3 linked regions of the Yarrowia lipolytica genome follow. The main gene of each other region encodes a partner of the protein of the gene in region 2 in a complex. Links are inferred from orthologs where the notes say so. Each region holds a gene or a part of one and is shown on either strand. Other genes may lie near its edges. The genes, in order: YALI1_E00551g, YALI1_E12067g and YALI1_F13366g.

Region 1 (2,667 bases), about 1.2 Mb from region 2:
TATAGACGAGAACAATTCCCGACCACCCTAGACTCTATATACACCACACAGTTGCTCACAAACTCGAGCTGTTCTAGGCCGGCAACTAAACCTTGGACTATTGAGACAGCCGCCTTAACGAGATACGATAATGTGCAGTAGTTGCAACTGCGTACTCAGCTGCCTGTCAGACTCAGTGCTGAGAACACGATAACACTGAGTACAGTTGACGCGGGTGACATGATAGAAGCCGACTTGAGCTTCGAGAAATCGAATACTTGGGCCCCTTCTGTGATCTGTCATTGCTCCTGAAGGGCCATCCCTAGACTGGAACCACGGTCCAATTCACCCCACACAACCAATGATTCAGCCGCACATGGGTCTGATGCGTACTTATGTGCACAACTTGCAGGCTCGGTGCTTCATCAGAGGATACTATGGAAGCAGCTTTCAGGCGACCGTCTGAATAGGGGACAGTACGAAATTTGGCTACAAACAGGCATCTACAGTATGTACACACGAGTAGTCGAGTGGCTGAGAAATAGTTGACAGATATTCTACAAGTACAGACGTGTGTCGGTTGATCGAGAATCCATATCTTCTCAAATGATATACAGGAGAGGTAGACTTTTTCTTTCTTTCTCCAGCGCCGTTCCTAATACTTGTACTATTACAGTATCTCGAGATATCACCGTTTTCCAGGCACTTAGGTAAGTGTCTTAGTTGGCTGATTACTTGGGTAAAATTTGAAAGCCAGGACATCATCAATATCATTTAACTAATGTCTGTTAGCTGCACAAAAATGGAAACAATCCCAGAAGCACTCATAGCTCTTGCAAGATACCATTTATCAATAGACCCCATCAAATAATCATCATTAACCAGGACTGTGGTCTCGAGAAATGTGACAGGCCATCAATGCTCTTCCTACTGTAGGTTAAAACAGGTTAAAACAGGTTAAAACAGGTTAAAACGCCATCTGCCCGTAATACTGTAGTCAGTGATATTACATACAGCGACTCTCTCAGAGCAAGCTACAATACCTGCCGGTATGGTACTTGTCCGAGATGTTGCACCCACAGGTCATTTCCAGGTATGTACAGTACATACTTGATACTGGTACATGCTCCGAACGCAAAAAATGCACGTGACTTTTACCTGAGCAGTAATTAGAGATGAATGTTAGCAGCATCTGGCTTACATGAACGCAGTCATATATTTTATCCACTTTGAGAGCAACCAGACCCCTCAGGTAAATTTCCTTTATTGTTCATATATCCGACCTACCTATTTCGGCTCGATATTAAAGTGCTCTTAATTACTCACGTATTGTACTGACAGACCGACCATGTTCAGAGTGCCAAAATAAGGTTGCAGCATCCAGTAACATTTTCAACCTTCATCTCTCACACGACGTCATCGCATCCCAACTACCCCTCTACACAACAGACTCGAAATGCTCTACGAACTCGTTGGAATCGCATCGGTGACTCCGGCACACGCGGCCGCCAAGCAGGCCGTCACCCAGATCGGCCGAATGATCATCGGCAACAGAGGCGTGGTCCGCCTCATTGAGTGCTGGCGATTCAAGCCCCTGCCCCAGATCATGAAGGCCCAGCAGAAGAGCTACGTGGTCGGCGACTACTTCTACATGAAGTTCGACTGTTCTCCCGGAGCCCAGGGCGAAATCATGCGAGCTGTCCAGGCTGACCCCCGTTTGATTCGAACCTTTTGCGTCAAGCTGAATGAGAAGTGAGTATGATATGGTTGCTCTTGAACAGAGTAACGAAGCTGGAGAGCTAACTGGGACAGGCGAGAGCTATTTTGTGAGCAGAAGTGCCCGTTTGGACAAAAAATGAAGTCTTTGCTCATTCTATCCTTTTCTATTTAAGATGCTCTTTTGACAATCATTCTCTAATCTTGAGTGGCGTCTTGAATAAGCAACCCAAGTCTAGACACGGACATGTTGGATTCTAGTCTTCGCCAAGCCGTCGGAATTCCTCCTCTGTTACCTGAAATAGCACCTCGAGCTATTAGAAGCGACCAGACATTTATATACGACTTGAGGCAGTTCCTCGTTGCATTCAAACAACTATATTTCTACACATCTTCAACATACTAACACAGATCCAGCAAAACCCTCATCTAGCATCTCTATTTAATGTACATATTCGACACAGTGTAAGTGATTTTCTTGCCTAAGGCGTGCCTGTAGGTGGACAGTATGTTCAAACTTCAGAACAAGGGCATTAGTTAAGGAGTAAAGACGACTCTTGCCCGTCTTGTGTGTGATACAACTGTTCTTATCTCGTGTATCCGAGACACTGTTTTAGCTAATACATGGTCTCGAACACGGGTGTGTGTGCATACTCATAAGACTACATACCGGCACTGGTACGAGGGAGTAACACTGTCAGTAACTACAACTGTTCAGATATGAAGTCAAATAAATCTCTCACGGCTGCAATATCGTAGATATATACTGGTGCCGTACATACCTGTACACGGATTACAAGTCGTTAATCGTCTAAAGGTCTATGCGAGTGTCGTCATGACACGACGACTCATTGGCAAAAACTGCATATGCTACCTTTAGTATGTACTGTACATACATCAATATCACACGAACCCCATTAACGTACTGTTTATTGTCTATATTTTAGTCCCCCCTTGTCGTTCCTCTATCTT
Region 2 (2,426 bases):
GCTTTAACCGCCGTCGAATGATCGCCGTAATGCACCTAATGTCTAATGATCAGAGCAACGCACAGAGCGATTCAAAACGTACCGGATAGGGAGGTTACGGCCAGCCTCATCACATCACACCAGAAATGTATACCATGACATAAGCCATGTAATGCCAACACACCAGACATGTAGTTGCCATCACAGGCAGACATGTAAATGCCATCCACAAGACATTGTAGTGCCATCAACAGCAACATGTAATTGCCATCACAGACATGGAGTGCCATCACAGACATGTAATGCCTCCACTCTGACCATGGTCTAACCGTGCGGACGCTTGCCACCATCGCCAACGGTCACATGACCCGGCCCACCTTCTAGAAGATCTTCGGTGCAGATCGCTACAGGACAATCCCGAGGTCCACGCCGGCCGGCTTTATATGCGTTAATATCGTTCTTGTAGCGGGAATTAGCCCGTTGAGATCTTCTGCGCGGCTGGAGAGGGCGTCGCACGTGTTCGGGAGCGGATCCGGCTAGGTTTCTGTTGATTTCCTGACATTGTGTGATCATTTATGTAATTTTCGGGATTATTTTTGATTATTTTGATTTTTTTGATTTTTTTTGATTTAATGGAATCAAGGATAATCCAAATAATTCGATAAATCCAAAGAAATCCAAAGAAATCCAAAGAATTCCAAAGAATTCCAAAGAATTCCAAAAGAGGGAAAAAAACCAACAAAAACATCAACAACCAACCCCAAATCAAAATACACGTCACCGTCTTCCATCAATCAACCCGATTCTCTCTTTTCACTCAAATATGCTCCGATCAGCATCTCTATCAAGACAACTTCACAGCCACAATGAGCAAATATCCCTTCTGAATGTGAAACCAAACGTCCTGAAGAAAGAGCCAATTCGAGAGCGATCTAAGAAAGGTAGAAAACAGCTGAGGCCCGGAAATATATCTGCAATCGGCCCAAAATCAACCAAAACCACCCCAAACCCCCCATAACCTGTTTTCTACCACCCCAAACCGCCAAAAAACCCCCGTGACACCCCTGACACCCTCCAACCTGCTCTCCAACCACCCACAACCCTCCTCCCCTACCCGGCCATGTCTCACGATCACCGTTGAAGATCGTTGTGGCTCCCAAGCCCAAACTGAAGATGGACGGAACAAAGCCCACCAAACTCGTCGACGATCCAGCACGTGCCAATGCAATGCAATCACGTGACCAGACAATATAGCCGCCGCCTGCAATCTCGAAATCAACTCCAGATCAAAAATTAAACAAGAAATCTGCCCCAGTCGAAAATCGAACCGCGGACCAAATATTTGCTTACTCAGCAAACCTTAAGAAGCCCTTACCCTGACATGATGCAAAATGGCATGTAAAATTGTGTCTCCAGACGCACCGTGAAAAAACCCACCGACACTTATCATCTCATCATGAAGGGAGGAATCAGAATTCGACTGGCGCGATTTGGCCGACGACACTCGCCCCTGTACAACATTGTGGTGGCCAAGGCCGGCCAGCGACGAGACGGTTTGCCCATCGAGGTGATTGGCACATACAACCCCATTCCTGCCCCCCGGTCGCACGAGGAGCTCAAGAGAGGCGTGCTGCCGGTGAAGGACGTCGAGTTGGACTTTGATCGAGCAAAGTACTGGATTGGAACCGGTGCCCAGCCGTCGGACACTGCCACCCGGATCCTGATGCTGGCTGGCGTGCTTCCTGAGGACTGGAAGGGAGTCGACAAGAAGCAGTAGGTGGTCTGGGGGGTGTCCGAGAGTGAGAAGCATTGATTTGTGTTGTTGCATTGTGGTGGAAGCAAACGGTGCAGACACAGACACAAAAGGGCTCAGATCAGACACAACACAATCACACTATCACACGGACAAAAAGAGACAGACCAAAAGAGACAGACACAAACGCGAACGGAGTGTGACTGTGAGGGATGGTTGATCCGACGAGAAGCAGATTCGGACCAATCAGGAATCTTGTACATAGATAATGGATGTTTAGTTGAGTTGAGGTGGCTGAAGACGAGTAGTGTGATGGAGGTGCGTGAAAGGGTTAAGCGGTGGTGTCGAGTGGATCTGGAGCGGGCTAGAGCGGATCTGGAGCGGATCTGGAGCGGATCTGGAGAGGATGTGGGACACCGGTGGAATGAGAGAGAGGAGGGGAGTCAGAAGAAGGTCTGACGAATATCGAGGGTAGGTTCAAACAGGGGGAGTTGGGAAGCGAGGTAAAACGGTCAGTTGCGATCGCATTACATTGAAAGTAGTATCAAATTAATCAGAGACATGAGGAGAGTCCAATGATCATTGTTAATCTCTTGTAGGAGCAGTATCGAAAGCGCTGGGGTGTGTTGTGGTGGTGGGTGTCGTGTGTGCATCACGCAGACTCTTTAACGAGATTGGCGAGTCGGTGGATCAG
Region 3 (2,193 bases), on a different chromosome or scaffold from region 2:
CCGGTCGACATTTCGTCGCTCAGCCAAAACGTGCTCGCCACTCCCTTTGGCCAGATGTTGAGACCCATGTTGGAACAGGGCATGAGCGGAATCACCCAGCGTCAATGATGGGTTTTATTTATTGCAACGAAGATGTAGACCGAATGAAGTACGGGTACACAACTACAGACTGAGCGGTATCTCGCTCGTGAAACAGACGCTGCGGTGTTCAGCTCTACTTAGAAAATTTTTAAACAATCTACAGCGTTGATTTTTGTTCAAGAGATAAATATACTAAACTAAATCAATACATTTAGGCCTTGAGGGTGAGGTGGCATCGGCCGCAGTACTGTCGGTCCTTCATGTCAGCCATGAAGACACCGGCACCGCAGGACTCAGACTCACACTCTCGTCGAAGTCGCTCAACCTTTCCGTCATCGTCAACCTTGTAGAGGTTGAGGACAGCAAGCTTGTTCTTCTTTCGCTTGTGCTTGATCTTCTTGGGGGTGGTGTAGACCTTCTTCTTTCGCTTCTTACCACCACCTCGAAGTCGCAGGACGAGATGGAGAGTGGACTCCTTCTGGATGTTGTAGTCAGAAAGGGTTCGGCCGTCCTCGAGCTGCTTACCGGCGAAGATAAGTCGCTGCTGGTCCGGGGGAATTCCCTCCTTGTCCTGGATCTTGGACTTGACGTTGTCGATGGTGTCGGAAGACTCCACCTCGAGGGTGATAGTCTTACCGGTAAGGGTCTTGACAAAAATCTGCATTTCGGTGTCGTCTGCAAAGAAAACTGTGCTGTTGTTAGTGGTTGCTCCTTGAGGTCCTGCTCTTCAGCTTTTGCATCGCTCCACTGCGTTCGCTGCGTTCGCCACCGTGTGGTGTGTCGTTATTACTCACCGTCTTTCTAGCCGAAGTGTCTGAAGAAGAAGAAAAGGAAGAGCTGCCGTGTAAATTTATTTCCATGCAAGTTGAGTGGGACTTCTCAAATAGGAAGTTACCCGGACCGCTATAATAAAACCTTATTTGATTTATGGTCACGTGGCGAAATGAGGTGGGGGGGGGGGAAACCGAAGAAAAAAAAACGTCGGTAATCTAGCTATAGCCGTAACTGACAATGCTCCATAGACCCCGTTTATCCGCCGTATCGTATATTTCCAGATTCCTTCCATTTTTTGCTGACTAATAACCCTAACCACCAGCATCTCCAACATGCAGTAAAATTTCACTGCAACATCACCATACACAAAGTCTCGAAAAATGACCGCCCAGAAGTTGCCCAAGCTCAAGTATCTGCGTGTCAAGAACCTGCAGACCGCCGAGGCCCCCCAGGCCGTGCAGCTTCTGTCTCGACTTTTGGCGTGCTGGTCATCCAACGGTGTCAACTCCGAGGCCTGCAAGGAGATTGAACAGGAGTTCAAGATGGCTGCCTGCAAGAGTGTGAGTATGAGAGGAGAAGGGTTGGAGATGATTGAGGCGACAGGGTCGGTTTAATTTCGTTTTGCAATTCTAACTCAGGTTAAACCCGTCAAGCAGCAGGACAGTATCAACTTCCACGCCAAGCGACTTTACCCCAAGATGGTTCCCCAGGGAAAGAACCGACGATAAGCGATGTCATCCATCGCCAGCATGTACATATTTATGAATTCTCTGTGATTTACGATACTGGGAGCGAGACGGAATTGGTAATGGTTGAAGATCGGAGGTGGGATGTGTAGGGAGAGGTGATGGAGGTGTAGGGTTTCCAATGGTCTGTTTGATATGTTGACGCCTCTGGGTATTGTAGTTCTGCAATTACTTGAGTTAACCAGAGTAACCAGAAGTTGTAGAAGAACTCTCTCGATTAGTACAATGTATCATAAAGGTCCATCTCATATCTCCAGACTGTAGACACTTTGCGACCACCCATTATGGCGATACTGTTGAGACGGTGCATGTAATTCGATTCGCTGTAGACTGTTGACGCTTCTTCGTATGCTTCTGTAGACCACTCTAGACCACTCTAATGCGCCGAAGTACCATCTGCTCAGTTCCAGCACGAGGTTCCAGTGTCCAGGTCCCTGTGATAAGTCAAAGGTTTTCAGTTGCACTACGATGCTGCAGGGCTACCAATGTATAGGAACTATAGAACCAGTCGATCCCTTCTCTACAGTATGGATATTCACACAGTTGTGTTCTACATCAGAAGCTGTACCGTAGGTGTAGCATAAGCAAGTAT

What was found.
Region 1: YALI1_E12067g (region 2) and YALI1_E00551g share a complex: the UniProt entries of both Saccharomyces cerevisiae proteins name them as parts of the mitochondrial small ribosomal subunit. The link is inferred for Yarrowia lipolytica from reciprocal best matches to the Saccharomyces cerevisiae genes MRPS16 and MRP17.
Region 3: YALI1_E12067g (region 2) and YALI1_F13366g share a complex: the UniProt entries of both Saccharomyces cerevisiae proteins name them as parts of the mitochondrial small ribosomal subunit. The link is inferred for Yarrowia lipolytica from reciprocal best matches to the Saccharomyces cerevisiae genes MRPS16 and MRP10.

Annotation. Positions count from the first base shown.
Region 1 is NC_090774.1:54,633-57,299, reverse strand, and holds YALI1_E00551g (mitochondrial 37S ribosomal protein bS6m), read left to right. Parts: upstream 1-1,435; coding exon 1,436-1,731; intron 1,732-2,106; coding exon 2,107-2,128; downstream 2,129-2,667. UniProt on the Saccharomyces cerevisiae protein: Component of the mitochondrial ribosome (mitoribosome), a dedicated translation machinery responsible for the synthesis of mitochondrial genome-encoded proteins, including at least some of the essential transmembrane subunits of the mitochondrial respiratory chain.
Region 2 is NC_090774.1:1,205,285-1,207,710, forward strand, and holds YALI1_E12067g (mitochondrial 37S ribosomal protein bS16m), read left to right. Parts: upstream 1-1,435; coding exon 1,436-1,756; downstream 1,757-2,426. UniProt on the Saccharomyces cerevisiae protein: Component of the mitochondrial ribosome (mitoribosome), a dedicated translation machinery responsible for the synthesis of mitochondrial genome-encoded proteins, including at least some of the essential transmembrane subunits of the mitochondrial respiratory chain.
Region 3 is NC_090775.1:1,335,906-1,338,098, reverse strand, and holds YALI1_F13366g (mitochondrial 37S ribosomal protein mS37), read left to right. Parts: upstream 1-1,235; coding exon 1,236-1,415; intron 1,416-1,493; coding exon 1,494-1,583; downstream 1,584-2,193. Other genes in the region: YALI1_F13384g (uncharacterized protein), read left to right, coding at 1-108; YALI1_F13373g (ubiquitin-40S ribosomal protein S31 fusion protein), read right to left, coding at 293-745; YALI1_F13355g (uncharacterized protein), read left to right, coding at 2,192-2,193. UniProt on the Saccharomyces cerevisiae protein: Component of the mitochondrial ribosome (mitoribosome), a dedicated translation machinery responsible for the synthesis of mitochondrial genome-encoded proteins, including at least some of the essential transmembrane subunits of the mitochondrial respiratory chain.